6 linked regions of the Ovis aries genome follow. The protein of the gene in region 2 purifies or fractionates together with the protein of the main gene of each other region. This does not show direct contact. Links are inferred from orthologs where the notes say so. Each region holds a gene or a part of one and is shown on either strand. Other genes may lie near its edges. The genes, in order: CTNNAL1, ADRA1D, SNTB2, SNTB1, UTRN and DTNA.

The links.
Region 1: the proteins of ADRA1D (region 2) and CTNNAL1 purify together in Homo sapiens (tandem affinity purification; 3 studies listed by IntAct, with this or other methods). This does not show direct contact. The link is inferred for Ovis aries from reciprocal best matches to the Homo sapiens genes ADRA1D and CTNNAL1.
Region 3: the proteins of ADRA1D (region 2) and SNTB2 purify together in Homo sapiens (tandem affinity purification; 4 studies listed by BioGRID and IntAct, with this or other methods). This does not show direct contact. The link is inferred for Ovis aries from reciprocal best matches to the Homo sapiens genes ADRA1D and SNTB2.
Region 4: the proteins of ADRA1D (region 2) and SNTB1 purify together in Homo sapiens (tandem affinity purification; 4 studies listed by BioGRID and IntAct, with this or other methods). This does not show direct contact. The link is inferred for Ovis aries from reciprocal best matches to the Homo sapiens genes ADRA1D and SNTB1.
Region 5: the proteins of ADRA1D (region 2) and UTRN purify together in Homo sapiens (tandem affinity purification; 4 studies listed by BioGRID and IntAct, with this or other methods). This does not show direct contact. The link is inferred for Ovis aries from reciprocal best matches to the Homo sapiens genes ADRA1D and UTRN.
Region 6: the proteins of ADRA1D (region 2) and DTNA purify together in Homo sapiens (tandem affinity purification; 4 studies listed by BioGRID and IntAct, with this or other methods). This does not show direct contact. The link is inferred for Ovis aries from reciprocal best matches to the Homo sapiens genes ADRA1D and DTNA.

The regions. Positions count from the first base shown.
Region 1 is NC_056055.1:14,330,372-14,335,075, reverse strand, and holds part of CTNNAL1 (alpha-catulin), read right to left. Parts: intron 3,851-4,704; coding exon 3,802-3,850; intron 1,067-3,801; coding exon 1,010-1,066; intron 871-1,009; coding exon 655-870; 3' UTR 1-654. UniProt on the Homo sapiens protein: May modulate the Rho pathway signaling by providing a scaffold for the Lbc Rho guanine nucleotide exchange factor (ARHGEF1).
Region 2 is NC_056066.1:50,655,469-50,660,172, forward strand, and holds part of ADRA1D (alpha-1D adrenergic receptor), read left to right. Parts: intron 1-3,439; coding exon 3,440-4,029; 3' UTR 4,030-4,704. UniProt on the Homo sapiens protein: This alpha-adrenergic receptor mediates its effect through the influx of extracellular calcium.
Region 3 is NC_056067.1:35,944,656-35,950,015, reverse strand, and holds the start of SNTB2 (beta-2-syntrophin), read right to left. Parts: upstream 3,397-5,360; 5' UTR 3,394-3,396; coding exon 2,814-3,393; intron 1-2,813. UniProt on the Homo sapiens protein: Adapter protein that binds to and probably organizes the subcellular localization of a variety of membrane proteins. May link various receptors to the actin cytoskeleton and the dystrophin glycoprotein complex.
Region 4 is NC_056062.1:94,924,703-94,929,406, forward strand, and holds part of SNTB1 (beta-1-syntrophin), read right to left. Parts: intron 2,900-4,704; coding exon 2,683-2,899; intron 1-2,682. UniProt on the Homo sapiens protein: Adapter protein that binds to and probably organizes the subcellular localization of a variety of membrane proteins. May link various receptors to the actin cytoskeleton and the dystrophin glycoprotein complex.
Region 5 is NC_056061.1:69,059,637-69,064,340, reverse strand, and holds part of UTRN (utrophin), read right to left. Parts: intron 3,834-4,704; coding exon 3,705-3,833; intron 1,488-3,704; coding exon 1,317-1,487; intron 1-1,316.
Region 6 is NC_056076.1:22,643,932-22,649,252, forward strand, and holds the start of DTNA (dystrobrevin alpha), read right to left. Parts: upstream 3,295-5,321; 5' UTR 1-3,294. UniProt on the Homo sapiens protein: May be involved in the formation and stability of synapses as well as being involved in the clustering of nicotinic acetylcholine receptors.

The sequences.
Region 1 (4,704 bases), on a different chromosome or scaffold from region 2:
TTCACCATTACAGAAATCTAAGGGATCTCAGCGGCTATACAGATTAAGGTCTCTGAACTGACTTGATGGACTGAGGCCCCAGAACACAGAAGCCGCGATTGCTGCTGAGGTCTCGTGTGTGCCAACTTCATGGAGCCTCAGGAGAATGAATGCAAAACCAACCTGCTCTATTTCAGACCACTGATGGGTTTCTCAGTGTGCACCAGTGGCAGTGAGCCCCTTAACCTGCAATCCCTCGCACTCGGCTGCACACAAACTTCCTAAGATAAACAATAGGAGCCTTTCTCTCTGAAGGGTCTGTGCCCTAGACAGGTGATGATGGTGACATTTAGGGGCAGCTGCTCAGTGCTATGAGCGACGTCACTTTCACTTTTCACTTTCCTGCATTGGAGAAGGAAATGGCAACCCAATCCAGTGCTCTTGCCTGGAGAATCCCAGGGACGGGGGAGCCTGGTGGGCTGCTGTCTATGGGATCGCACAGAGTCGGACACGACTGAGGCGACTTAGCAGCAGCAGCAGCTCAGTGCTATGGCATTAATCATGTCCAAAAAGCTAACTTATCTGGTGAACCTACTGCTCCCCGAGGTCAGCTACAGATGATAAACAGTTCTTGTAGTTGAGGCAGGAAAATGGAAATCAGTTGTACTTTGGGTATTAACACTTTATTTGAAGAAAGAGGCTGGATGCTAACCTAATAAAAAAAGGAGTGTGAACGTTTCTCAAGTGCCTTCCTGCACATCCCACTGTCCCTTTTACCTTTAGAAACACTTGATTCTGTAAAGGTGTCTTAATTATTGTCTGGAGCTGGTGGCAGAGAGGGACAAACTTGTTTATTTCCAGGAGAAGCATAAGTTTGTCATCATCTTTCAGCTGAAATGTAAATATGGCAGTTATAACAGTTCCAATGAAATGCCACCTTTTAAACATCAAATATATCTTAATAATACACTCTCAAAATGAGTATTTATGACATCACCACCAGGACCAGGCAGGGGGATATGTGAATTACCTGTTTTGAGAAAGCCTGTACACTTGAAGCAAGCTTCAAACCCTCTTCAGCAAAAACCTGGTAGAAAGGAAAAACTACTTTAGGTGTATGTCTTCTATTGGTAACAAGTACACTCATAGATAATTTTCATATGGAATTTAAAACTAAAACCCAAACATTAAACACCTGTCATGGGAACTCCTACGGTTTTCCCTGTGCCCAGGAAAACATAAGTGTTTAACTCTATCCACAAGCAGATTTCCCAGACCTGATGCAAACTCATCCCTGCAGAGGCTCCTCTACGTGTGGCCACCTCCAATTACCGTGGAGGATCATGCGATACTTAGAAAAATTATGTCTGGGCTTCTGGATGGATCTGAAGTTCATCCCATAGTAGCCCCAATTATAAAAGGGTGATGAATCTTGGAACATGAGGTCAAAAGCATTAGAACACTAGTTTTTGCTTCTGGCTTAGCAAGAGGGACTCTGTCACCCAGACACGTTCTTCAGCCATCTGAATGGACCAATTCAGATTAGATTTTTACTACTTACCGCACATTCTATGCTTTATTAGTAAGCAGAATAGGATGACAGGAAAGAATGCTGGAAAATACTTTAGACTATTCAGGATGATTATTTTCAAATGGTACATAGAATCTTCTAGAGTGAGAGATACCAGGGAAATGAAGATGTAGCTTTAGGTGGCAGCATTAAGAGTAAAAAGAACTGGGTAAATTTGAGAATGATTTTTGAAGAAAAAGAATAGATCTTGGTAATAAATTAGGTAAAGCATATGAAGAAGGAGAAAATCATTTCAGGGTTACCTTTAACCCTCTTTCCAACAGCCTTGCTATCATGGGATAAACTGATCTCAGGGTCAAATAGCCCTTTACATCCCTCCTTAGCCTTTAAAAGGGAAACCAATGTGTTTCACACCAACCTTCAAACCTAATGGAATGATTCACTTAACCCACATGTTCCTCCTCATCTTTCCACATTACCACTTTCTCTTGTACGTATCAGCTCTTCCCTTCTAGCCTGCAAACCCCTAGGAGCAAGATCCCTGTCTCACAGAATATCATGGTCTCAAAACCACCTGAAAGCTGATGACTCCTAAGTCTCTCTATTCTTGAGCTATCCTGACGTGAACTGTACATCTTACTTGAGCAAGACTACATGCTTGATTTCCAGTCTCTAAATCCAGTGTTGTCCCTCTGTTCCTTATGTCAGTAAATGGCGCTACTGTTTACCCTGTTGGTCAAACCAAAAGCCTTTGAAAACAGAAGTCAGGTCATGCCACTGCAAAACCCTCAATGGGTTTTCTATCATTCTTGGGGGGGAAAAAAAAATCAAGGTTTCTCCCAAGGCTCAGAGATGTCATACGTTACCACCTTCCTTCTTGTTCACTCCATTCCACCCACGCTTGTCTCCTTGTTCTTCAGACACCTGCGCTTCCTGTACTTCAGGGCCTCTGCACTTGTTCTGTCTGCCTAAAATATTCTACCCCCAAGATATCCAGCTAGCTCACTCTCTCAGCACTCTACTCAAATATTACCTCCTTAAAGAGGTCTTTTCTGACCATCCCTCTATCACTTTTATGTTTTTATCTCTAAGTATTTATATATGGGCATTATATACTTAATTGCATATTGTCTATCTGCTCCCACTAGAATGTAAGCTCCATGGGGAGGGGAAGGGGCTTCCTTTTGTTCACTTTTCTCCGCAGAGCTCTTAACCCCAGGATCTGACACATCAGTACAAATTCAATGACTATTTGATAAACATTTTATGTAGACACTTCAGCAGATGTTGGTTTAATAAATACGCTAACACAGAAAGAAGGTAAGAGTGGATAATTTTGCAGTGAAATACTCTCTACGATGTGGTCTGCCTTGGAGTGGACATGGGTCAAACTGAACAAAATGAATCCAGAATTTACTCCAACTTTTTAAACAGAAATAGCTCACTCATAGTCAATTTTACAGAAAAACCAAATGAAATATCTCCGGCAGTTCTTCTGACTCTGTTGACTGGCATCCTCTCAAGCTGAAATCCCTTTCCTGAAGAGACTTAGGTGAAAGCACAGGGGAATGCCAAAGGAAACTATATAAAGGTGATAAAGTGATAGAAATTTCAAATGCAAGAATGCCCTTGGTTCTAGAGAGGCAAACAGACTGACATGAGAGTCAGGGGAAACAAGAAAGGCATCCTGTAATCTCACCATCTAAGCCTCTAAGTAAGGGAGGAGGATTAGAGTCAGGCCTACGTGAAATTTCGTAAGACACACAGGCCAGAAGGGCAGGTGTCGGTGTTTCTGTCTCTCCCTGAAGGCCCTAATCATCGGGACCATGGAAGAAGGAAACTAACATGTACTGCGAAGCTGCAATGGTCTCAAGCCTGTGACAGAAGCTTTCTTATGTGTTTCCTCATTTAGTCAATACCATTCATCCAGTGCAATAATGAAGTCAAAAAGCTTTCCTAGTATTCAGGACAATATAAGAGACAGGCATCTGCTAACAGGATATTTTTACCTACTTGGGAAAACCTAAACCTTAATATTCCATCTAGTGACTATCAAAGCCCATTCTACTTTATCCCTATGTTTTTTTTTCCAAAAAGGATAACCGTTTTTTAGATTTAGCTGTAAAATACGCTGTGCAAACCCTTGACTTTTCTACCACGCTTCTACTGTACACGTGTGGTATGTACAGGTAAACACACTAATGTGACATAGTAAATCATTCAGAAAACTATCTGTTACCAACTTTTAGTCCGGAATTAAAGTATTATCATAAAATAGAAAGTAAACATACCTCTAGTTGATGAATTAAATCCTGGTAGGTTTTTAATGGCCCCTCTCCCCTGAAATAAAATAATTATTAAGGAGCTAAGAAAAAGTTATTGCCTAGAAATTGATTTTAAAGTTTTAGAGCATCCTGTGTATTTACAGATCCAAAATCTGAAGAATAATATTGAAGAGTCGAGTAATATTGTCACTCTTCTTAAAGCAGCTTTAACTCTTACCTCTAAAGGCACGTTTAAAAACTGGTCAACATTATATATGTAAATTTTATAATGTAAAGAAAATTAAAACTGACATATTTAAGTTTTATGTTTCTTTTTTAACTTTATTTTCCTTCATAAACTCAAAATATGAGATCTGAAAATAAAACGCCTTTGTTCCATAAGAGATAAAAGATGAGACCGAAAATCAAGAAATTCTCATTTTTTATTCTAATTTCAACTATGGCAAGGCACGTCAGAAGTTTCAATTCTGAGTCTATAAAATCAGCAAAACAATATTTGTGCTACCACTCTCATCAAGAAGATTAAGAAATATCACACTGAAAACTACCAAGAAGAATTAAGAACTTCACAAGTGAAAAGTAAATTACAACAAAGGGCAACAGAATACATTAAGAAGAGCAACAGCCTAGGCGGGAATCAGAAGATCTGAAATCTAGCAGGTACCGATGGCCCTCAGTAGCTACTAGTTATGAATACAACATTCTTTTATGCTGATAAACTGTTGGAAGGACAAATGAAATTATGAAGCAGAAACCACTTTAAAACTATATGATACTGGTATGTGTGAAATCTTTAAAAAGTATAATCCATTAGAAAATCTAAAAGACATAAATTATAAGAAATATGAGTAACTGTAAATAAACGACAAAGAAACTATATAAATTGTCAAGACAACCTTAAATAACAGC
Region 2 (4,704 bases):
CTGCCCCCCGTATATGGGTCACTTTCTACCCCAGCAGCTGCCTCCATCTCTTTGCCCTCGACTTTCTCTGACCAGCAAAATCCTCATTGTCCACCCACACAGAAGACAGGACTATGGAAAATTAACACCCTGAGGGAGCAGCCCAAACACTGACTGATGGGAATGGGAGTATAGATACCTCACCTCCCTCACCCCACTGGTGCGACAACTACAGTCCCCCAGAGCTCCCAGTGAGATTGCACCCTGGTGGCCCATGGCAGTGACTAACTGGTTAACTCTCCTTTCATTGGCTTCCTTCTCTTCCCTCTTTTTATCACATGTCACTACTGGTGTTTCATTCACCTTTCAAGTGAACAAGTTGTATTTGAATCCTTGTCTCAGGTCTGCTTCTGGGAGGACCAAAGTAAGACAGAAACCTCAGCAAGACACAGTAGGAAAAACGTGGGGCTGAAAGGCTGAGTTTGAACCCCAGCTCCTTTGTGTGTAAGGAATTCCGAGCTGGCAGCAAGCTTCCACATAGGTTGGTTAAGCATAAATTAGAATTCTAATTCTTAAAAACAAGGCCCAGGCCACACTACAGATATGCCATGTTCCCCACAAAATTCAAATCAAAACCACATTGATAACAAAGCCCCTTGGCTGGTTTTTGGCTTACTGCTGAAAGCATAGTCCCCTGATTTGTCATCCTGGGCTAAATATAAAAGAATTCTAGCCTGAGTCAGAAAGTTATTTTCAGCACTCAGTCTTACTTTGCAGCCATTGAAGGATGCTGTTCAGAAGGCTGTCTTTCTGGAGGCTGAGGTCAACCCTGGTGGCCCCTGGATTCCAGGGACAACTGCCCGATACTTCTCCCAAGGGAAATTATCTCCTAAACACATTCTGACTGATGCCCCAGCCTCCCCCAAACCCACCAAATCTCAGCTTCTGTTTCTGGCCACTATCCAGAGCTGAGAACGGAGTCCCTTCAGGACTGAGGTCTCCTCTCTCAAAAAGCCACAAAGATATGGAAGGGGGAGGTGAATAGACTCCAGTATTTAGTACAAACCTGCTAAGTCTTACACCCTGAAATTCATGATTCATCAAAAAATCCCTTTCAGAGAAACATTGCTATGTATATTTCACAGAAAAGGAAAGTGAAACTTAGATGGCCAAATAACTTGCTGAAGGCTGCATGACCAGAGTTTGAAAATCCTGTGCCACGCAGTACTACCTGACATTCCTCTTTCTCCGCCTCTTAGCACCAGGAATCTCACCAAGTGGGAGGTGGGTGATATACAAGAGCCCACAGGTCAAAGAGGGACCCATGGTGCCTCTGCTCCCTCAGTAAAGGCCCTTGCTCTTATTTCTTTGAGGACAAGAAAACAAAGCATGTTTCATGGATTTGTCAAGGACCACTCCCCTTGTTCTGCTCACCCTGGCAGACACCTAAGGCTTTTGCCTGGGATGGGACAGTCTTGCCACCTATCCTTGACCCCTGCTGCTATTGCTGTGGAGGATGATGAGGGTGACAAAGTGGCCTGTGCTTCCTGAATGATGTCTTTGCACTTTGTTAGTTGCCCTTGGAGGTATGACTCCTTAAGGTCCATGGTGGGGAAAGCAGGGGAGAGGTTTGTGGGGAAGAGGGTCTTTCTGGCACGACTCAGACTTCCAGTACCCCCACTCCCTCCTGTCAGGCACTCTGCTCCCTTTTAAAGCCATCCCAGAAGCCTTCCCTGACCACTTCCCACTTCCACTGGGACAGCTCCATTATCCTGCATTCTGGCAGCCCATGGGCATTGCATTTGTTCAGTTGCTAAGTCGTTTCTGACTCTTGGCAACCCCATGGACTGCAGCACACCAGATGTTTGCTCAAATTCATGTCCCCTGAGTGGCTGATGCTATCTAATCATCTCATCCTCTGCCACCTCCTTTTCCTTTTGCCTACAATCTTTCCCAGCATCAGGTCTTCCCCAGTGATGTTCTTCACATCAGGTGGCCAAAGCATTGGAGCTTCAGTTTCAGCATCAGTCCTTCCAATGAATATTCAGGACTGATTTCCTTTAGGATGGCCTGCTTTGATCTCTTTGCAGTCCAATGGGACTCTCAAGAGTCTTCTCCAACACCACAGTTGGAAAGCTTCTTTCGAAGCTTCTTCAGCGCTCAGCCTTCTTTATGGTCCAACTCTCACATCCATACGTGACTACTGAAAAATATCATAGCTTTGACTATACTGACCTTTGTCAACAAAAGTGATGTCTCTGCTTCTTAATATGCTGTCTAGGTTTGTCATAGCTTTCCTTCCAAGGAGTGTCTTTTAATTTCATGGCTTCAGTCACTGTCCACAGTGATTTGGGCATTGTGTTTATTGAGGCTTAATTCTAGGTTCTATCTTTTGCCTGTTCAAAAATATCCGTATCTCCTAACTATCCACAAAATAAAAGTGTGACTTTCCAGCATTTAAGGCCCTTCACCATCTGTCCCAGATGAAGTTTTCTGAGCCTATCCTATTGGACATTCCCCTGCCCAAACTTGTTATCCTCTTGCCTACCTCTCCATTCCACTCCTGATAACCTCTACCCTTCCTCATCCTGCCTGGCTCCTGTCTATCCTGAGACTTTGGAAGCCCCCCCCAACCCCAATATACTGGGCACCACCATCATCCCATCTTCTTTCTCATGATATTTGATCCACTTTGCTACTGAGAGAGCAGGACCTCAGGTATTTGAGGAGAGTCCAGGACAGTGCCTGGCATGGAGCAAGCCTTGGTCAACATTTGATTCAGGAGTCTTTACCCTTCTTATAAAGCTAGGGACTACTTGGGCATCTGACAAAGTGTATGGAGCCTTTATCAGAATTACTCTTTCAAATGCATAAAATAAAATACAAAGGATTACAGATGGAATCAGTTTCATTGATTTTTAATTGAAATTTGTGATTTAGTATTAAATGTACTTCCACATGAAGGCTTTAAATAACAGGATCCACTGGTGTGTTCTAGTGACCATTTCCAAATAGGGAGAAGCATAGACAACATTTCAAAACATCTCCACCAACTGCTAATATTATGTAGAAAACTGACAATATTGCACTGTTTTGTAGCTGCAGTTTGGAGCTACAAAACAGTGATTTCAATGTCATTTTGTCTAATTCTACTCAGGTTTGTTGCTTACACTTGCAGGAAATGCTTGATTTCAGGTAAATGTGAGTAAAACTGAAGATGGTTGTTTTTCTTCATCAACGTTCATGGATACTCTTGAATTATATCAGGAACCCATTGAGGAGAGATATCTTGATAGCCCCTAGCTGATGAATGGTCAGAGCCCAGGAAAGGTGCTGTGGGAGGGGGAGTAGTGTGGAGAGGGGCTGCCTGTGGAGAGGGGCTGCACCAGGGGCAGCCTGGGGCTCCCTGGGGCTCCCTCTTCCTGAGCATCTAACCAGCCTGGGTCTCTGCTTCCCACAGGCTCCCTGTTTCCACAGCTGAAGCCCTCAGAGGGCGTCTTCAAGGTTATCTTCTGGCTGGGCTACTTCAACAGTTGTGTGAATCCACTCATCTACCCCTGCTCCAGCAAGGAGTTCAAGCGTGCCTTCTTCCGCCTCCTGCGCTGCCAGTGCCATCATAGTCGCCAGCGCCACCGCCCACTCTGGCGTATCTACAGTCGCAACTGGCAAGCTTCAAATGGCAGCCCACACCCAGACTGCACTCCTGGCCCAGGTGCCATACCCACCAGGGCCCCACAGGCCTTCACTGTGCCCTCAGCCCCTGGCTCCCTGGGCGCACCCAAAGCACAGGCTCCAGCTGTCCCCTGTCGAAAGATGCCCTGCACCTTCCGTGAGTGGAGGCTTCTCCGGCCATTCCAGAGACCTGCTACCCAGCTGCATGCCAAAGTCTCCAGCCCATCGCAAAAGATCCACACCAGAGAGGCCATGTGCGCCCTGCACTCAGAGGTGGAAGTGGTGTTCTTAGGTGTCCCCCACGATGCAGCTGAGGGTACTACCTGCCAGGCTTATAAACTGGAGGACTACAGTCATCTCCAAGAGACTGATATTTAAGGACCTTGAGTTAGGCCAAGGAGTATGCTGGGGTGGTGGGAAGGGTATGGAGAAGGAGACTGTCTTTGTTCAAGAGGCAGGTAAGAATCAGAGACCCAGAAACTAATCAGCATCAGTTTTGGCAACTGCTCTCCAGCATCTGTGAGGAACTGAGATGGGTTGAGGGTTTTGAAAGTTATGGGCTCCCCATCCTGGACACAGACGCCCCCAGCTCCTCCTTTCAAGAGAGGGGCTACAGGCTCCTTAAGGCCATTTGCTTCCAATCCCTGCTTGAGAAACACTGCCCCGTCTATGCTGTGAACCCTGGGTAGGTGGCCCCAAGTATAGCCAGGCAGCCCTGTCCCTCCTCTTGGGGAGTAAAGGGCACAGAGGCCTTGCCTGGCTGTTCCCAATGCCTCCCCTCCAGGAAAGGTCACTTGGGCCAAGGATTCTCAATGGACACAATTTCTTCTTAGCGCAGACTGGAGAAATCCAGTGAGCCTGCCATTGCCACCGGCATGCTTTGGTGGCAGAATAAATGACTGTCCTACAAGCCTGTTGTATAACCTGCAGGCCACTCTGCCCTACAGAGGCTCTGCCTTACCCCTCATTTTGTCTTCCAAAGGGCCTTACTGTTTACACTCTGTATATAGCTCCTTATGCCTGTGCCCATCACTTCTTGCTGGGATCTAGAAC
Region 3 (5,360 bases), on a different chromosome or scaffold from region 2:
CCCCAAAGGCTCCAGGCACAAAAACTGTCAAATGAACAACAGCCCTGTGAAGAGGTGTTATTATCATCCTGGTTTTACAGATGAGGAAACTAAGGTGCAGCAAGGTTGAGTAACTTGCCTAGGGGTTACAAACCACTAGCCAGAACATAGCCTGGTCTAGCTGACCACAAAGCCCTCATGTGTGCTCTAACCTCCCTGGGCAAACTGACTTCTTCAGGTCTCTCATTTGTCTTTACTGGTGGTAGCTCTCTCCTTAGGGGAAGGCTTGATTCAAACTTGAACTTCTCCATCAATCTCTTCTTGGGCATCCTCAACCTCTGATGCCCACAAGGGTCTTTCTTTGTACTGCACCCTCTCCAGAGTTGCATTCTCACAGTTTTTAGCCCTTAGCTGTACTATTTCTTAACTCTCTCTTACCTCAACTCCAAACTTCCTGAGGGCAGAAATCAGACTATTTTTAAGCGACTCTGGCAAGTGGAAGACCTGAACAAACCTTTGATGTATGAATGAATAATTCCTACAAATCCATGAGATTAAAAACAACGACAAAAAACCCTTCAATTCACTGGGTTCCCTAACCACAGGCAACCAGACAGTACAGCTTTGCTTTGCCTGGGGGTGATAAAGGTTGCCTAAAATTCCCTGCACGCACCACAAAAGGGCATCACTGTGCTATGTTAAACTGTGCTATGTTAAGGTAGTTTTTCAAGTTTTGAGACATCAAATGGAAGGATCATTCAGTTCTAAAACTCTAAGCATAAAAATCTATCTTTTAAAAGTAGCCTTCCTGGATGGGTCACTAGTTCTCAATTTTAAACATTTGACTGATTCTATGAAATCACTGTTTGCAGTGGTTCTGCATATTATAAGCAATTTTATTTTTATATCCTTTGATTTTTAAAGTTCAGTTTCATACCTCTCCACACATATAAGAACAAAAATGTCTTGTCTTTTAGAAAATGGGAAAATAAGGTAGAACCTGTGTTAGGTAAACAAACATTCACTAAATATTATGCTGCCATTTGTAAAGCCTCCTTCTAAAAGCACATGTGGCCTATTTTAGGTTAATGAATACTATGAAGTGTTTACTAGATGATTTTTATTTAAGTGGTATGAATACCACGTTCAAATTATATCTAAACAAAAACTAGATTTAAAAAATATAGATATGGGTTAAGAGCTGAAACATCTGCCCATCACCACTGAGCACCACATAAATAGTACTACAGTCAGTATTCTGGCTCTAAGAATTTATAACCAAATTCTTAGCTAGCACAATTTCAAGACACACATTTATGGCAACTCTTTCTTTTTTTACACACATACAACCCACATCGCCACAATTTATAATTTTACTCCTTTTATTAACACTAATTTCTGAGTAGTGCCTAGCCCCACCTAAGTGAAATATAAATATTTATAAATAGGATATTATAAGGTGGGAGACTGGAATTTCACAATTAGAGCACATTAAAATATTTACTTGGAAACTAACACCTTCCCAAATGTTTACTAGCAGATTTAGGAAAAAGTGAAAATCACTTTGCCAAGCTAGACTTCTGGCCTCTCAGTCAGTTTGATGACTGGCCACTTCCTACCTCCACTCCCCACCCCTTCCCTTCTGTTCTTCCTCTGCCAGGAATACCCTCTTGACTCATCCCTGCCTATGTCCATCACTTCCCTGGAGACCTGGCTCAAGACTCAGCTTCTTGAAAAACTCCTCCCTGATCAAGCTGATTTCCACTACTTCCTAACTTTGCACTCCCTTGGTATTCATATAGTTTGCACTCCACAATCTATAATTTGTAAGTTGTTTTGCATTTTTCTATCATTTTTCCAACTAGACACCAAATAGAGACACATCATCTTTTATATTCTCTTCTGTATTGTCAGCAATAAATGCCTCTTAAATGACTGAATGGGTGAAAGAAGGCTGATCACTCAAAAATTTCTGAAGTAGTATTACCTCCAACATGCATGAGTCCTTCAAGAAGATAAAATTTATTTTGCCTTAGTTCCATAAAAGACTCAGGTAACAGATCACACTCAAACTTAAAAGAATAATCTTGACTATTCAAACGTGACTTGAGATTTAACACTTCAGGCTTCTGAATTTAAGCTTAAAGCCTTGAAGCCTGTGAATGGTAGGAAGCTGGCACCCCGTCTCCTGCAAAAAGGGGCAAAATTCTAGTTGACAGTAAAAGTTCAAACACGTGAGCCTCCACTGTTAAACAAGGCTCATTAACCACACAAACTTGCTGTTTCAGCTTTCTGGCTTCGATGAAGTGCTATGATCTCCTTTGGTTATTGTTGAGAGCCAATGATGGGTTAAATTCCCATAAATTAACCAGCGTTTTGGTGGTCTGCCCAAGCATACCGCTGGCATCGGTGTGGATGAAATTTTTTTTTTTTTTTTTTTTAACAGACCTGCCTGGCCTAAGAAACCAGAGGTGAGTGAAGAAAGCGCCACTCAGGAGGCAAACGGAGACCTTCAGAAGTCCTGTTCTAGTTCTTAGTGTCAGCTTAGCGTGCAGAGGAGGGGCTTCAAGCACGGCTGCTCCAAACTAAAACCTTCCTAGGGGACTGCAAGCCACACTTCGGCGGCAGCCCAACTTTTCCTGCAGGGAGCATCAGTTTTTCCATCTCCAAAGCCCCAGCAACGGGGTTGTGGGGAAGCCTGCCGCCAGCAGAGGGGAAGGTGAGGTCTCCGAGTGGGAGGGAAGGGGCTGGCCCCGCAAAGGGGGCAGGGTGGCAGAACAAAGTGAGCGCCGGCCAGCCCAGCCCAGCGCCGCCCGCCCGCCGGCCCGGCTCACCCTCCAGCAGCACCTCCTTGCCCGCGCGCTTCAGCGCCTGCACGGCCTGGTCGTGGGTGGCCTGGCGCAGGTCGGTGCCGTTCACCGACAGGATGGCGTCGCCCAGCCGCAGCGCCCGGCTCTGGTCGGCCGCCAGTCCCGGGAAGATCTTGGAGATGAGGATCGGCATCCGGTTCTCGCGGCCGCCCTTGATGCTGATGCCCAGGCCGCCCGCCTCCTGCTTCACCACACGGACGCGGCGCACCGGCGGTGACGCGCCCGCCTCGCCCGCAGGGCTCCGCGGCGGCGCGGGTGGACTCGGGGGCCCCAGGCCGCGGCTCGGGCTCCCGGGCAGCGAGTCGCCGGCGCCACCGCCGTTCGGGAGGCCGTTGAAGGCGGCCGCCGCGGGCCCGAGAGCGGGCTCAGACTCAGCCGCCCCGGCGTCGCCCGTCAGGCTCAGGCTCTCCCCGCTCAGCTCGGCCACCACTCGGACCCAGCGCTCCCTCAGGAGCAGCTCCACCAGCCCCGCTTTGGTGGCCCGCGTCCACACCGCCATGGCCGGCCCCACTCCCGCCGCCGCAGTCGCCGCAGCTACCCTCATTCCAGTCAGGCAGCCTCGGCGCTTCCCCCTTCCCGCCCGTGGGGGCGGGTCCGGCCCCGCCCCCGGCGGTGATTCATTATTCATGAGGCCACGCCCACCTTCCGGAGGTGAGGGGAGAGGACAGCCGAGCAGCTTCCGGGAGGTTAAGGAGTTGCCCGAGGTCCAGTGGGTTACAGTTCACCGGACGTGGGCAGCTCGCGTGGTTTGGGCTGTCTCACGTTCTCCCTCGTACGCCTCCGATCTTCCCACTCCCAGCTCCTGACTTCTACCGTGCAACTCGCCAGAGCTGCCTGGGCACAGAGAGTAAAATCAGCTTCGAGAGGCACTTTGCAAGCCTGCAAGACCCAGTTGCAGGTACACTTTTGCATTGATTGGTTTACAGAACGCTCCGCCAAGTGTGCTCCTTTTTGAGGCCTGGAGATGAGATGAATAAAATGCACCACAGCTGAGAGCTGAGAGTCTAGTTGGGGAGGAAAACAAAGAGAATCAGCTAACCTGATGTTATAGTATGTGGTGAGTGTCAAGTACAAAATGCCCTGTGAGCAGATGAGAACATTTAGTTGGGTCTGGGGTCAGCTTTATAGAGGTGACAATGAAACTCAAAAGTCAGAGCATTTGTCACTCTGCTTTGTAATCCCCTGTTTACTTGCCAGTAATGTCAGAGGAAAAATATCTTTAGCCCCGCAGTCACGATAGGTAGGTCTCAAAGATATCCGTAAAATGATGGTTACTTAGGGAGATGCCAGAATCCAATGTCAAGAGAGGATAGGGTCAGTGGCAACGACAGTATACGAGTGTAAAACGCCGAATATAACCACATATTTGGAAGTGTTTGGACTTGAATTTGTAGATCTGACTTTCTCACCCTGGAGGCCATGGCCTTATGTTAGGGCAAGTGCACATGGGCCTCCCCAGAAACACTGCACAATGTAGGGCCTGCAGCGGTTTTTATCCAAAGATACAGGTGATACAATCCACTGGCTTCTTACAGTTTCATGGGCTTGAAGAGCAGAAAGTAACACATTGTAAAGCAATTATACTCAAAGGAAAAAAAGACACTGCTTTAGTAGAATGGGGAGAATAAATCAGCTATCTCACCTTAAAATTACACAATAAAAGAAGAGCTGAGGAAACTGAGACCCAGAAAGTCAAAGATTCTGGCCCAAAGCTCACAGTGAAGAAAGACAACTCACGTCTCCCACCCTCCTGGTCCAGTGCTTTTTTTTTAAAAAAAACAAACAAACATAAGTCCAGACCTCAAGGATGAGGTCCAGAAATCACACTGGGAAGATCGATCTCAAAAACATGAGATCACCGTGCCCTCAAACGTTCCTTTTTTTTTTTGGCAGGAAAAGCAAAATTCCCCTATTTTCATTTGGGCAGGAGGGGAGTTGGCGGGGGGAGGGGAGAGAAAAGGGGGATGCCAACCCAGGGAGTGTACACCAATTCCTGTAAAAGGGGTTTGTATACCTGCTTGCTCATGAAGTTCATGTTGAAGCTCGTAAGCTGTGTCCATGCAACACTCTGAATGCACATTCAAGTATGGGCAGAAACTTTCAAAGAGCCTCCTATACCAGAAGTGAAAACAATAAAAATAGAGACTAGAAAATCACCCAGCGCCCAAGTGAAGAAAGAATTCACAATGAGAAGAGTATCTTACCCCTAAAAAATCATTACAGCAGAATCCTCTTTGCAATTAGCAGAGCAGGATTTTCCAAGCTGCAAGTGTCAGCAGAAGCTCAACCCTCCAGCCTCTCCTAAATCAACTGCAGTGAGGCCAGCTCACTGTTCCGGCAGGTCTCGATGTGCCCACGTGCACCTGCAGTCAGTTTCTGGCTTTGCTCCAGCTGAGGCGTGAGCCCCCAGAGGCCTGAGTTATGTGAAATTTCTGCTTATTAGAGAGCACTTGGCAGCTGATTCCTTAGAGTATAAGCACAATTTTGAACCTTTTACGTACATATTCACCC
Region 4 (4,704 bases), on a different chromosome or scaffold from region 2:
ATGAGGTATAATTGAAAAAATTATAAGACATGTAAAGTTTGCATCATGGTGACATGATACACAGATTTGCTGTGAACGGTTAATTTACCGTCAACAGTTTTGGATCTGTTTGGACCAAAGTCCCTTCCTGGACCCTCTGGCTTAGCTGGATTCTCGTTTGCAGTCACACCCTCACATCCCAGAGGACAAACTTTCCCTCACCATGTAGGAGGCCCTACATACACTCACCAGAGACCAACCTGAAGAGCACCAACATGAAAGTTTAAAAAATGGGAACTACATTCAATATCCTTGGATAAGCCATAATGGAAAACATACTAAAGAGAATGTATATATGTATAATATAACTGAATAACTGCTATATAGTAGAAATTAACACAACATTGTAAATCTACTGTACTTCAATAAAATAAGCTTTTTGAACTAAAGCCTGATATCTCGCCAAAGAGCCTTTAAAAGGTAATTAAACGCTTGGGAGAAACGTGATAGCATAAAAGTCCACAGATGAAAGGAACCCTAGACATTGTCTCAAACCCTCTCCCCAATGCATTAACCACTTCCAAGACAGCCCAAGTTTCCTAGTCTCTGTATTTTTCTGGTAACGGTAAGCTAACACTGTCACCCACTCTATGGGAACAAGATGAAATCCCAGTTGTATCACATACTAGTTATGAAGACAGGGACTTATATGAGCCCTGAGCCTCAGTTATCTTTGTGGAATGGGGATGATGACTGAGACGCAGAGGTCTAAGCATGGTTACAAATTCAAGGACTAGGCGGAAACGGAACAGGCAGGCAGGTGTTACACTGAATCCCTTAAGCGTAAGGCATTAGGACTGATGAGAAGAGCTTCTTCTCTTTTGGAAGGAGAGGTCTTTTCTGGGATCTTTACAGATTGGAGCCCTGCCTGCAGCAATGTAGGCCTAAGGATATCATTAGATCTTCTGATTTTTCTAAAAAAGCAGAAATCTGGCTTTTTAACGTGAAATTTCCCAGCTAGTCAATGTGGCAACTAATTCACAGATATCTTTGCAACCCTAGATAGACCATTAAAACAAAAAACAAAAAAACAAAAAAAAAACTGTGGGCTAGGCACACCCGAAGGCGTGGGCACTTTGCAGTGTCAGGGCTAAAGTAATTAGCATGCTGCCCGGCACAAGACCGGCAGTGGGTAAGTTATGAATTCATCAGATCTGAAATCTCAGACCTCAGACTCTTGGGAGAAAGGACTTGTTCTGACTAGGTGGGTAAGAAAAGTCAGGGAAGAGGAAAGTCAGTGCGGAGGCCGCTCTGTGGCCCCGAGGCAGCAGGAACGCAGCAGGCGGGCGGACCGGGCAGGCGGGGCCCGCTCGGAACCGCCCTCCCCGCCTCCTCTGCTCTCTTCTGCAGAGGCGGGCTGTCTCATACAAAGGCCCATCTCTGATCCCTGACCGAGGAGAGGGCAGCCGGCTGGGGTCAGAAGGGCCAGCAGCTTCTTCAGCCTAAGTTCACAGGGAAGAGAACCAAACAGCACCGAGCTGGGAGCCAAGGAGGCCACTTTCTCCTTGTTTCTATTTCCTTTGGGTTTTCCCCACCAGCAGCCCTGAACCTAGCCAAGTACTTCCTCCTTGGGAGGGTCACAGCTGTCCCACACTTGTTATAAATAAGGGCCAGGAGAGCTGTCTATTTTTAGCATCTAAATGTGGATGCAAAGGTCACCAAGATTCCCCCTTCGCCGGCTCCGTTTCCCTCTTTCCTTTCTACACATCTTTTCTTTTCATTCCAGATGTACATTTTCTGTGCGGAGGAGATGAAGACTCTGGGGGGAAGAGAGACCCCAAATATTTGCTCATCTTGCCTGGACTCCTGATTGCCATGGATTGGTTTATGCATCTAGGCTGTGACAAAGAAGTCACGCACAGACTTTGGGAAACAGCATCCTAGACTTGGATCCAAACCTCTCTGTTTCCTCTCTTGAGAATAAAGAGAGGTTCAGAGCAGAAAACAGCATTGAAGATCCTCTCCCTGAACCTTCCAAGGGCACAGATGAGGGCCCCAGGGAGGCTGATACGCTTATCCCTGTGCACGGGTGCTCACTCCCTTCTGTCGTGTCTGACTCTCTGCAACCCCACAGCCTGTAGCCCACCAAGCTACATGTCCATGGAGTTCTCCAGGCAAGAATACTGGCATGGGCTGCCATTCCCTCCTTCAGCGGGTCTTCCTCACCCAGGGACTGAACAGTCCCGCAGCTCCTGCACGGCAGGCAGATTCTTTACCACTGAGCACTGGGGAAGCCCATGCTTATTGCCACCCGACATCAGTAGTACACAGTATCACGGCCTGTGTTCATGGATGGCTGCTCTGGGCTAGCTACTTCACGTGGATTTCCTCATTCAGTCTTCATAACTCAGGGAAGTATGGATTTCAATTATCTCCATTTTACAGAAGCCAAAACTGAGGCTCAGCGCTTGAGAAACTGGCCCAGCTTCCGGCAGAGGCAGACCCGCGAGGAGACAAAAGATCCTGACTCCATGGATTCAACATTTTCCGGAAGGAGAGCTTAACACATAGATTCCTCATGAGGATAAAGGAAGAAGGAGAGAGGAGGAGGGAAGAAGAGAGGAGGGGGGCGCGCTTGACACACAGGCTGCTCGCGGAGCTGCGCCCGAGGACCGCAGCTCGGAGGGGCCTGCCCACTCGTACCTGCTCTCGGGGTCGGCCAGCGCCAGGCTGCGGGTCACGAAGCACATCCTGAGCGGGATGCTCTTCCGGTCTCGGTGGAAGGACGGCGGCTGCGACGCCAGCGGGTCCGGGGCGCCGGCCCCGAGCCGCGGGGACTCGGGCGGCGGGGTCTCCCAGCCGATCTCGGACACCGGCGAGCCCTTGGTCACGTAGGGGGTGGCCTCGCGCATGTACTTCACTGCAAGCAGAGAGGGGACAGAGAGCCTCGGTCAGCGCTGAGGGTCCCGGCGGGCTGCGGCTTTCCGAGAGCGCGCTGGACCAGCAGCACAGGACCCTCTTACATTCCCCGGATAATAGTTGTCTGTTCCTTAGGTGCCAGCGTGGTTTTTACAGTCTGCCATTAAGATGGCCTGAACTTCAGAATGACTCTCAGGTTTTCCGATTATGACAACGTCTATCTTTTCTGATTATAAGGTGCATTCTGGGGAAGAGGCTGGGAAACGAACAGAGACTGCGAAAGCATATCTTAGTCAAAAGAAACGCAATTATTCAGTATAGATGTAGGGTATCTGGTACCCACATTGACCGTCCACATTACCATTCTGTTCAGAAGCAAGGACAATCTTTTCAAAAAACAGTGCTGAGAACATGTATGTAAAGAAATACACAGAAAAACATCTATGTAACGGTAGACATCTATGATGGCAAAAATATTACTTGTAAGAGCTGAAAACTAGGAACAACCTAAAGGTTCAATAAAAGAGAACGGATTAAAGAAATCGTAAGGCACCTTTACGTTCATTTAAAAATGGATAGATGCAGATGTCTTGATGTAGAGAGGCCTGTAAGATCTACTATCTATTTTTAAAAAGCACTAGAGAACAGCGCATATACTGTGGTTACTTGTGATTGTGGTTACAATCATAGATATATATGCCTGTGTAGCTACTACAGTTCATGGACAGAAGTCCAAGAAAATGTTAATGGTAGTTAGCTCTGGGAGTGGATATGAAACTCAAGATGATGGAGAAATAGACCTTTATTATTCATTTATTGCTCTTTTATATAATTTCTCATGTTTAGCCATTGTGTTATACATTGTGTTTTAAAATTTAAAGAAACAATCATTCAAGAGCTGAGTGGAGCAGACTGAAATTCTGCTCTCTGATATGTTTACTTGATCTTAAGGTGTTAGTTGGGGCTTTCCTGGTGGCTCAGATGATAAAGAATCTGCCTGCAATGTAGGAGACCTGGGTTCCATCTCTGGACCAGGAAGATCCCCTGAAGAAGGAAATGGCAACCCACTCGTATTCTTGCCTGGAAGATTTCATGGACAGAGGAGCCTGGCGGGCTACAATCCAAAGGGTCGCAAAGAGTGGGACCCGACCGAGGACTAAGCACACATTAAGGTGTTATTTGCTGATTCTGAACTTAAGCACTTGGTTCTTAGAGAGCATTCACACTGACAAGGCACCTGGATCCTGGAACGCGCAACGTAAGCTCCACGTCCGTTTCCTACAGTTCACACAGCCTGGCTCTCTGCTGCTCGGGGCCCTTAATGGCATCTGCTGTTACAAATGGCAGTGGATTAAAATGGGTGGCAAACCCAAGGGGCAGTTCCTCCAGATCTTGGGCAATTCAGTTGCACAAACTAGTGGCTTCCCTCTAGGACACACGGAGTCAGGCTGCTGGAGACTGCAGGGACAAACAGAACGCGGTTTCCATGCTGAAGAGCAACAAAGTCTCAGGCCGCTATAGTGGATGCTGTCGTGGGCCAGCAGACCCTTTTCTGCAGGACCTGTATCCTAGCTGCCATGTGTTGCTGAGAACACTCTGAGCTGCTCTCCTGCTCTGGAACACTGTTCTTGGATATCAGAAGTCATCGAGCCCGAGAGACTACCGGCCCACTGCTCCATCCCCCAGACAGAGGATCTGCTTCTCCGGAGCCTAACACTGCGGCATAAACCTAACCCCACCAAACACTGCGGCATAAAACAAGTACATAAGCGAAGGCATAAACCTAACCCCACCGAACACTGTGGC
Region 5 (4,704 bases), on a different chromosome or scaffold from region 2:
AACCTCTCTGGAAAAATCTATTTAACAGCATTTATATGAACAACTTTCACAACAATTCCAAGGAATTCTACGAAGTGATCCTAAGGGCATATTAAGACACAAGCAAAAAGACATGCATAAGAGAATTTTAACAAGACAATATTTAAAAAAGCACAATAAAAGTGGAAAACTGACTTAAAAACCACAACAGATCATATAGTTTAATACCTGTTAAAAACCTTGTCAAAGGAGAATACACAAAACAATATAAAAATGTTGATACTTTAATATCACATACATATAAGAATATAAATACATGCCAAAATGTTAACAAATTATTTACAGGAAAAATAATCATTTTCTTCGTACTTTCTTTCAATCCTCCTCTTATGTCTCTTATATTACTCTTTTACATTTGTAGAAAAATCTCCTATAGAGCTACTGAAAAGACTAAATAAGTAAGCTTAGGTCACAAGGTAAGGAAGGCAAGAGTTAAAGCAAGATTTTTGTTTGTTTTCTTTAAGTTGCAAATAATCTAAATATATTCTTGGGCTATGAGAGATAGTTTGGCCTATTATATCAGATATTTTGGGATTCCCTGGTGGCTCAGTGGGAAGAATCTGCCTGCAAATGCAGGAGACCCAGGTTTGATTCCTGGGGCAGGATGATCCCCTATAGAAGGAAATGGTAACTCATTCTGGTATCCTTGCCTGGGAAATCCCATGGACAGAGACGCCTGGTGGGCTGTAGTCCATGGGGTTGCAAAGAGTCAGACAGGACTTAGCGACTAAATGACAACAACATCAGATATTTCAAAACAAAGCAAAGTTAGAGAATATTTACTTCCTACAAAAAAAGAGGACCCTCCTCTTAGATAATTTGAATACTTGAAACCTTTTCTCAAATGGGTTATTTTCTTTAATACTAATTTCTTAGATTCTCTCCTTCATTTGGACAATCATAAATAAGAACGAATGCTCAATCAAAGAAAAGTGATAAAACCATTTTTGTTTAATTTTTTTGTTGTATATACCATATAATTGAGGCTTCCCAGGTGGCGCTAGCAGTAAAGAACCTGCTTGCCAATACAGGTAGATAAAACAGACGTGGGTTCAATCCCTGGGTGGGGAAGATCCCCTGGTGAAAGGCATGGCAACCCACTCCAGTATTCTTGCCTGGAGAATCCCATAGACAGAGGAACTTGGCAGGTTACATTCCATAGGGTCGCAAAGAGTCGGACACGACTGAAGCAACTTAGCACGAGCACCATGTAACTATCTACCATTCAGCTACATATCTACAAGAAAATAGTTTTATATAAAAACATAATTACTTACTTTGGCACTTCTGATGTGTTGAGAGACTTTTTCAAAATTTCTGTTCAATTCAGCTAATTTTGGTTCTACAAGCTCCCGGCTTGAGCCTCCACGTGCACTCATCAAAACAACAGCTTGATCTCGGACGTTTTGTACTTGGAGATTGACATCATCCATCTCAGAGAGTAAACGCTAATTGTAAGAAAGCACGAAATAATCACATGGAAAAAATCAAAACCAAACATGGGTGCAGTGCTAACTGGGAAGTAAAGGGAGCTTAAACAAATGTCTGAGACTTCTAGTAAGAGACTTCTGTACCATCAATTTGAATAAGAGCTGTTCATATATTTAACGAGAGAGAGAGACAGAGACTCATTCATGCTATACAGGAAGCATTTTAAACTACTCCCAGTTTATATAAAACTTTACTTTATAATTGAATAGTCTATAAGATTTATTGTGTCATTTCCTCAACCATCTTATTCTAAGAATTGCAAAGTTTCTTGAGGCTGATAAAAGATTAAGTAGCAAGGAACAGACTTTAACTTCTTTTCCCCCTAGAAATCTTGTTTACCGCCATCCCCCTTTCCTTGGTGAAGGTAAACTGGTTTGGAAGGGAATTGAATATTACCATTTAGTTTTTAACTAAAATGTACAAGAACATTACGCAGTCTCCTCTGGCTAATTTCATAATGGTCATTAAATTCATTTTCAGGCCTAAGAAAGGGATGCAAATACCTGCCTCAATTCCTACTTCATTCATAAGTTTTTGAAGAGTGCTGGAATTCTCTCAGGAGTATGGCTATGAGTACTTTTTGAGTACCCGCTTATCTGTATGTATCTATAAATTCTGCAAATGTTTTCCTTGTGATTACAAGAATGAACGATACCACAAGGCACTCAGTGATCTAAGACATGGAGCCTAATCCACTGTTCTGAAGAATCTGTGCTTGTTATGGTGGCTGAGAGAAATTAAGTCGTTTGAGGAAGTAGTTTTTAAATTAGTGTATGCAGATAGAAACAGGAGAACATCAGCTTAACTATGGAACTTTTAGAATGTGTTGTCTTGCATCTAAATCTGATTGTCATATTAAAAAAAAAAAAACAGCCACTGCTTGTCTCAAATTTCGCTAGTTATGTAGAGATTCTTGAAATTCTCTTTAAGAAAAATCAAGCGGAAAGAAAGAAACACTTGGCAGATAGGTCTTGGCTTTCATGAAAAATTGTCTAAAGGTATGCTAAACATATGTTAGTGATCTAATAAATGTAATAAATTTAATAAATTCACTAAAAGTGTAGTCCAGGAAATAAAGAAAATGTAGTGAAGAAAGGAAACTATCTCATTCTTTAAAGGTTTATAGATGCATAATAAAACACTCTAAAATGGTTTTGTTTCATATAAACCATCTGGTGTGAAAAAAGCTCTGTAACATCTAAAGGACCTGAATCAATTGTTATTTTGCTGGCAACAGACACATTCTTTATTGTTTGCAGGTTCCTCATCAAATCTTTAATTATGCAGTGTTTCCTGGCATCGATAAACAACGTGAAGGGGAAAAAAAGATTCATTCAGTGATGTCTGCAAAATGTTTCGAGAGTATATTTGTAACCCAGAATTCAACTGTTCATCCATATCTGATGCGTCAGAGAGTTCCAAAGAAGGATTGGTGGGGCCTGAGCAGTAGATAGAAAAGATTTCCCAGGGGGAATTCTTAAAAGTTAGGTCTGACCTTCAACTTTGAAACAAAATGTAAAAACACAGGAAAGAATAAGGGCTACTCTTAGAAATTTTCTGAGACTCTGGAGTTCCCAAGACAACAAGTTCTTCTTTGCTTATCACCAGTGCATAAGAGTATCAAGAAGCTGAGCAAAGTGAAGAAGTCTGCCATACGGCACTTCTGAAAAAACATACTATCTTTTCTTTCACAGCAGATTCCTCTGAAAAGCTGGATCAGTGGGGAATACGTACCAAGAAATGAAAGCCAATTACTCATTATGAAGTCTGTTTTGCTCCAACTTTCTGTAGTGCCACCAAATTTTGCAAGTCATGAAAAAAATAACTAAAACTGCACTTCTGCTGTTAACTAATGATGCAGCATTCAACTATGCACCATGACAAAATGAAGTATTTTCTGTCTTCCCAGCTTATTAAATTACAATGGAAAAATTATGTTAACAGCCCCATAATGTGGCACTTTTAGATGCCAATTCTTACCTAAGAGGAATGGAACAAAAATTTAGCTAAGACAAAAACCAAAACAAACAAAACGACTCATTTTGTTTATCCCACCAACATAAAAGTTAATAAATCTGCACGAGAAACACATGTGTGCAAGTAACTTGGAATATTCATCAAGACAAAGGAGATAGCTAAACCTTCCATTCTCAGAAGTGTTACTGATCTGCTACCTTCACAATTTCTTCTCGTTTGCTTGCTGGCTTTTTTTCGATCTCATCCAATAGTGCTTCAGCTTGATAAAGCCAGGTGCTTATGTGAGCAACATTGCCATCAAATATTTCCAACTGGTTCTGATGGTTCTAGAAAGGAATTAATAAAACACTGATACAACCATATGAAATAATTAAGACAATAATCTTTGAAGACATTTAAAAGGTCTTCAAACACCTAAGTAATGCTGAATTTGAAGAAGAACTTCTACCTTCCTGCAAAGCTCTTCCGCAGTGGATAAATATCATTCCAAAAAATGCACAGCTGTAAAAGTGAAAGTTTTAGTCACTCAGCCGTGTCCGACTTTGCAATCCCATGGACTGTAGCCTGTCAGGCTCCTCTGTCCACAGAATTCTCCAGGCAAGGATACTGGAGTGGGTAGCCATTCCCTTATCCAGGGGATCTTCCCAACCCAGGGATCAAACCTGAGTCTCCCACATTGCCAGCAGATTCTTTACTATCTGAGCCACCAAGGAAGCACAGCTGTGGTTGGGTACTTTTTCATTTTAATTTAGACCTCAAAATAATGAAAAACTGAAGACTAAAAGGCAAAAAGTTTCTTTATAAATTTCATTTTATTTTAATCCCTATTTCTCATTCATATACTACAAATAATCTTATTGGCCCTGCCTTGATCATATTAGTTAAGAACTCATTTAAGGCAGCAGCAGCATTTAAGTACTAGTAAAAAAGCATTTCAAATATGGTTGAATAGATTTTGCCTACTCAAAGCTTGAGTGCTTGAGGCAGGGCCCATGTCTTTTCACCTCAGTACCATCAGCACTTAATAAGACACTTGGCATAGATCTCAGTGATATTTCCTGAAGCATAATATAACATGTGATTGAGTTAAATTTGAAAACAGAAGCAAACACTTAAGTCAGTTAAAACAGGGCAAAATTTCTGAGGCAAAAGCAAGAATTTAGAATTTGATCAAAAAGAGTGCAGAAGCTTTATGAT
Region 6 (5,321 bases), on a different chromosome or scaffold from region 2:
CATGAGGATTTAGCAGTTAGTGTGATAGCCCCTTCCCAGGTTTTACACTTCCCTCCCTTCGCTCCAGGTGGATGACAGGAACGTGTGGGGTCCAGCCGTCACCAACTGTGGGGATGCCCAAAGTGAATAACTGCAATGCAGGCCCTTCCAAGCTCCTTTCCTCCCCAACTGATTTCCTGTGTGCCTGTCCATGCTCAGTCACTTCAGCTGTGTCTACCTCTTTGTGACCCCATGGACTGTAGCCTGCCAGGCTCCTCTGTCCATAGAGTTATCCCAGGCAAGAACACTGGAGCCGGCTGCCAGTTCCTCCCCCAGGGGAATCTTCCCAACCGAGGGATCGAACCTGCGGCTCCTGCATTGGCAGGTGGATTCTTTACTGGTGGCATATAAAAGCCTGTTTCCATTTCTATTAATGAAAAGGGGCCTCTGATAGCATTTTCTCAGATTTACTTTCTAGTCCCGATCTCTGGCAATATGATAGAACAGCATTCAGAGCTCTTTCCTGAGGCAAAGTATAATTGCATTTGCTTCTACCTCCTAGTCCTTTATCTAGATGAGCTCCTGAAAGTAGGAAAATGCTGTCACTGAAATAAATGGCTATAATGGGTTTCTGGCTCAGCCTTTTACTTTGAACATCATCTTGGAACTTGAGTTTTGTTTTGGGGAATGAGGGACATGAGCTTACTATTTTAGGGCTAGGACCCGCTGGATTTGTTATCAGGGATTTGGTCTTTCCTCCAAAGTACCCACCATAGTGGTTCTCAGCAGTGGCTGAACATCACCCTGGCCTGGAGACTTCATAAAAAAATATACATACTACCTGGATCTACTGAATCGGGGGTTGAAGTGGAACCCTTGCACTTTAACAGTGCATCACAGGCATCCCTGATACATAGCCAGATTAATACTAGAAATACTGTGTTAGTTGAATTTGACTGTTGAACAATAACAACAGGTTGGAATTCTTTTTAAAAAAGTTTATTTTTGGCTGTGCTGAGTGTTCGATGCTGCACTGAGTGTTTGTTGCTGCACCTGGCCTTTTCTCTAGTTGCAGCAAATGGGGGCTGCTCTCCAGTCACGAGTGCACAGCTTCTCGATGCGGTGGCTTCTCTTGTTGCCCAGCACTGGCTCTAGGAAAGCCGGCTTGGTGATTGCGGTGAACCAAGCTTGCCCTGAGGCATGTGGGATCCTAGCTTCCAAACCAGGGGTGGAACCCATGTCCCCTGCATTGGCAGGCAGATTCTTAACCACTGGACAACCAGGGAAGTCCCTAGGCTGGAATTCCTGTGTTGCCTTATAATATGTTTCTCTAGCTTGTAAGATCCACTTTACAATGTACTTTGAGCCAAGGGAGAAGATAATTAATTCTTCAGAGAATGTAAATATGCATACACTGATGACGATGGTGATGGTGAAAGTCGCTCAGTTGACTCTTTGTGACCCCCCATGGACTGTAGCCCACCAGGCTCCTCTGTCCATGAAATTCTCCAGGCCAGAATATTGGAGTGGGTATCCGTTCCCTTCTCCAGGGGATCTTCCCAATGCAGGGATGGACCCAGGTCTCCTGCATTGCAGGCAGATTCTTTATCGTCTGAGCCACCAGGGAAGCCCTGATATATTGATATGGGTACATACTAAGGCAAACTTTAAGTAACAAAAAAAATGTCATTAAAAAGTGAGAAAACAATTTTTATCTGGAGAGGAGTACTATCAGTGGTACTTTCAAGTCAGGAAGGAAGGCTTTCTGGGGTTAGAGTGTACAAGATGTTTAAGGTCACTGGCTTTTGTTTGACTCCATTTGGCTTGGTATGAGGCTAGGCCTTCTGCTCAAGAGCACGGGGGTATGATTCTCACCTCCTCCTATTAGTCAGGATTTAAAGATTGCAGAGCAGGGCTGGGAGCAGTTTGGTATGGGGAAAAAGGAGCCATTTGGAAGGAAGATGATAAAAACTTGGACTCTGTTGTGTGAGGTTAAAAGGACTAGAAAGTCTTTGAAGGACTTGGAAGCCCTGCCTAAGAGCTTCATCAAAGGGACCTCAAGAGTCTCTGGGGGAGACAACCACAAGTACAGGGGGTCATCTGTACCGCTGCCTTCAGCTCTGCACTGGGACCTAAGATGTTTTTAGAGAACCGTGTTTTATCTCATATGATGTGCCTTTGGGACAAGGGTTGTGTGTGTGCGCATCTATATTTCTCACAAGCAATAATGTTACTTGTATAGGAAGTCCCCATGAACCTTCAAGTTGTGAACTTTCAAAGATGCGAATGTACGTTTGCATGTCCAGTCACGGAAGTTAGCTCACGTGTCTGGCGTACATTGTCACGTGTGTGCATTCTCTACAAGTGGAGCAGGAAATGGCAAGGAGGTTTTCTTTATCTGAGGAGTCACTGTTGGCTTTTGAGGCACAGGACCTGGACATAGAACAGTACACGCAGGAGCCAGCAGCCGTTCAGAATGCAGTGCAGTGCTACCGTGTCATCTCTGATGAGAACAAAGGAGCTATGACCCAGACATCACTGGGTCATTTTTATCAAGAGGGTTAGATAGAGCTGCATCCAGCAAAGAGCCAGAACCTGTGCTGTCAACACCAGGTGTGAGTGAAGCTGCGGCTCGCTCTCCGTTTCCCATTGCTGACGATCCTTCAGCTCTCCCATCTCCCACCTCCCCTCCCTCCTCCTCTAGTCAGTAACTCTTCTAGCCTGTTCACTCGATGCCAGCCCCTGTATGCCTGCTGTTGTACTGCACTACTGTGCTTTTCAAGTACTCTACTGTAAGGTTAAAGGTGTTTTCTTTATTTTTTGTGCTTATTTTTAATGTATTGTGTGAAAAGTATTATAAACCTATTACATTGCAGTACTGTATAGTCAATTGTAGGCTAACTTTGTTGGGTTTATGAACAAATTGAACTTATGAATGCACTCTCAGAACAGGACTCATCTGTATGTAGGGGACATACTGGATAGGCCCACTTGGTTATGGGGGATCTATGGTTAACCTGAATACTGGAACCAGAGTCTTCCCTGCCATTCTGCTGGGGCTGTGAAGTCTTTAACTTCTGAGGGGCGGGTGTTAGGAAACGGTCTGCCTTCTGACTATTTGGAACCGTCTCAATTCAGTGTAGGATGTCCCTGCTCATAAATGTAGGTCTATTTCCTTTCCCGACATATTTATTGAATGAAATTAAATAAATGAAGAATGAAAATTCCCCTCTCCCCGTAATTGTAAGACAGTTTTTCACTAATCTTGCAATAAGACAACTCCAAATTTTTGAATTTGGCCCCACTTATTTCTGAGCCCCACTTAATCTCATTATAGTGGTATACTATATTTATATAGTATACATGTATACTATATATGTATAGTATATACATAGTATTATACAGATAATAGTATACATATTGTATGTTGTTGTTTAGTCATTAAGTCGTGTTTGACTCTTTTGCAACCCCATGGACTATAGCCTGCCAGACTCCTCTGTCCATGGGATTTCCCAGGCAAGAATACTGGAGTCGGGTTGCCATTTCCTTCTCCAGGGGATCTTCCTGACCCAGGAATCAAACCCGCATCCTGTTTGGCAGGCAGATCTTTATCACTGAGTTACCTGGGAAGTCCCATATATACTGTATATACTATATACATTATTTTACTTGGATATGTAAAAATGTGTATATGTATACACACTTATGCAAGTAAAATAATTTGATAAATTGTAAAAATGTAATTCAAAACTTTTTTGAAGTGATTGCATTCAACTTAGCTTCTTAATTAAGAGGTATTAGCTGATTAAGCAATGCAATACTATCCAGTCTATAATTTCTTTTAAAGTTTAGCCCCTTTCAATGATTTGATAAAAAGTATGGATCCTCACCCCACCAAAATGCTTATGTCTCTGGATACACAAATGAAGAAATTATAGCTCCTTGCATGGGCTGGTTTTGAGGAAGAAAGCCAGGATTTGGTGAGAATCAAAGGTAGCTTTATTTTTTAGGGAGCACTAATCATTAGTGAAAGGGAGCAGTCAATGGATATATCTGCAGAGCAGCTGCCCAGAGGAGAGAGCAACCTGGCCTCTGAACACCAGGAAAACAGGAAAGATGTTGAGGTAGTGCTGGCATGATGCAGAGAAGATAGTGATGGGCTCCTCATGTAGTAGAACCCAGGGTGCCCAGATATACAAAGTCAGTATGCGAGTGTCAGGCAGAAACTTGCATCTGGAAAGGCAACGTTCTTTAGGACTTTACTGGCATGACTCCTGGTGCTTGAAAGGATTTTGTTTTGGAGGAGCCTGAAAAGAGTACGAAGGCCTAGCCTGGTGGCTCAGTGGTAAAGAATCTGCTTGCCAAGCAGGAGGTGCTGGTTCCATTCCTGGGTCAGGAAGATCCTCTGGAGAAGGAAATGGCAACCTATGCCAGTATTCTTGCCTGAGAAATCCTGTGGACAGAGGAGCCTGGCGGACTCGCCAGGGATCGCGAGTCAGATGCAACTTAGCCACTAAACAGCAGCAAAAAGAATAGGAGAAAGAAACAGGTCCTCTCTTGTCCATGGCTAATGTGCTGAGAAAGCAAAACAAAACTGAGGCTACTACTGACCATGGGCTAATTGCTATCTGGATTTGTAGGAGTTAGATTTCCCTGAGGAGAATGAGAATAAAAGTGAAGGGCAGGGCACTGAGCATTCAGATATAAGCCAGGGAGGAATGCGTGCTTTAAATTTTCCATTTCTTATTTTTTAGAGTTGGGGAATGCTGGGTTTGGAGAGGTGGAAAGGGGACAGGCAGGGAGTTCATTGTTTTCTGCAAGAGGACAAGAAAATCAGACGTTTTCTGGGAGAAGATACAGTAACAATAATAAAAATCACAATACTATTTAAAACACAACTGTTTTACAAAAAAGTGAACAAGATACCAAACACTAAGAAGGAATTTTCTCATTATGTTCTTATAAGAACACCATAACAATGGCGTATTACTCTTTCTATTTTACTTATGTGGAAACCGAGCTTCAGAGAGATTAAGCAATTGCCCAAGTGATCAATTTAGGGCTTAAAACCAGACATGTCTAACTATAGAGTCCACTAGGCTTCTTAATAAAAACTAAAATGGAATTGTATGAAATAAGACTCATGGGAACGACTATCCTGCAGGCAGTGGTGTTGGGAGGTTGCCCATAGATACACACACTGACATGGACTAAAGCAGAAGTGAAGAAATACATGAGCGGATGCCAAGGGGAGCTGGGCAGGATCAAGTTAATGGGCTGTAACAATGCCACAATTTTGCTGAGAAAAGAGACCTGCACATCGTAAAATGCCTATATCCTCT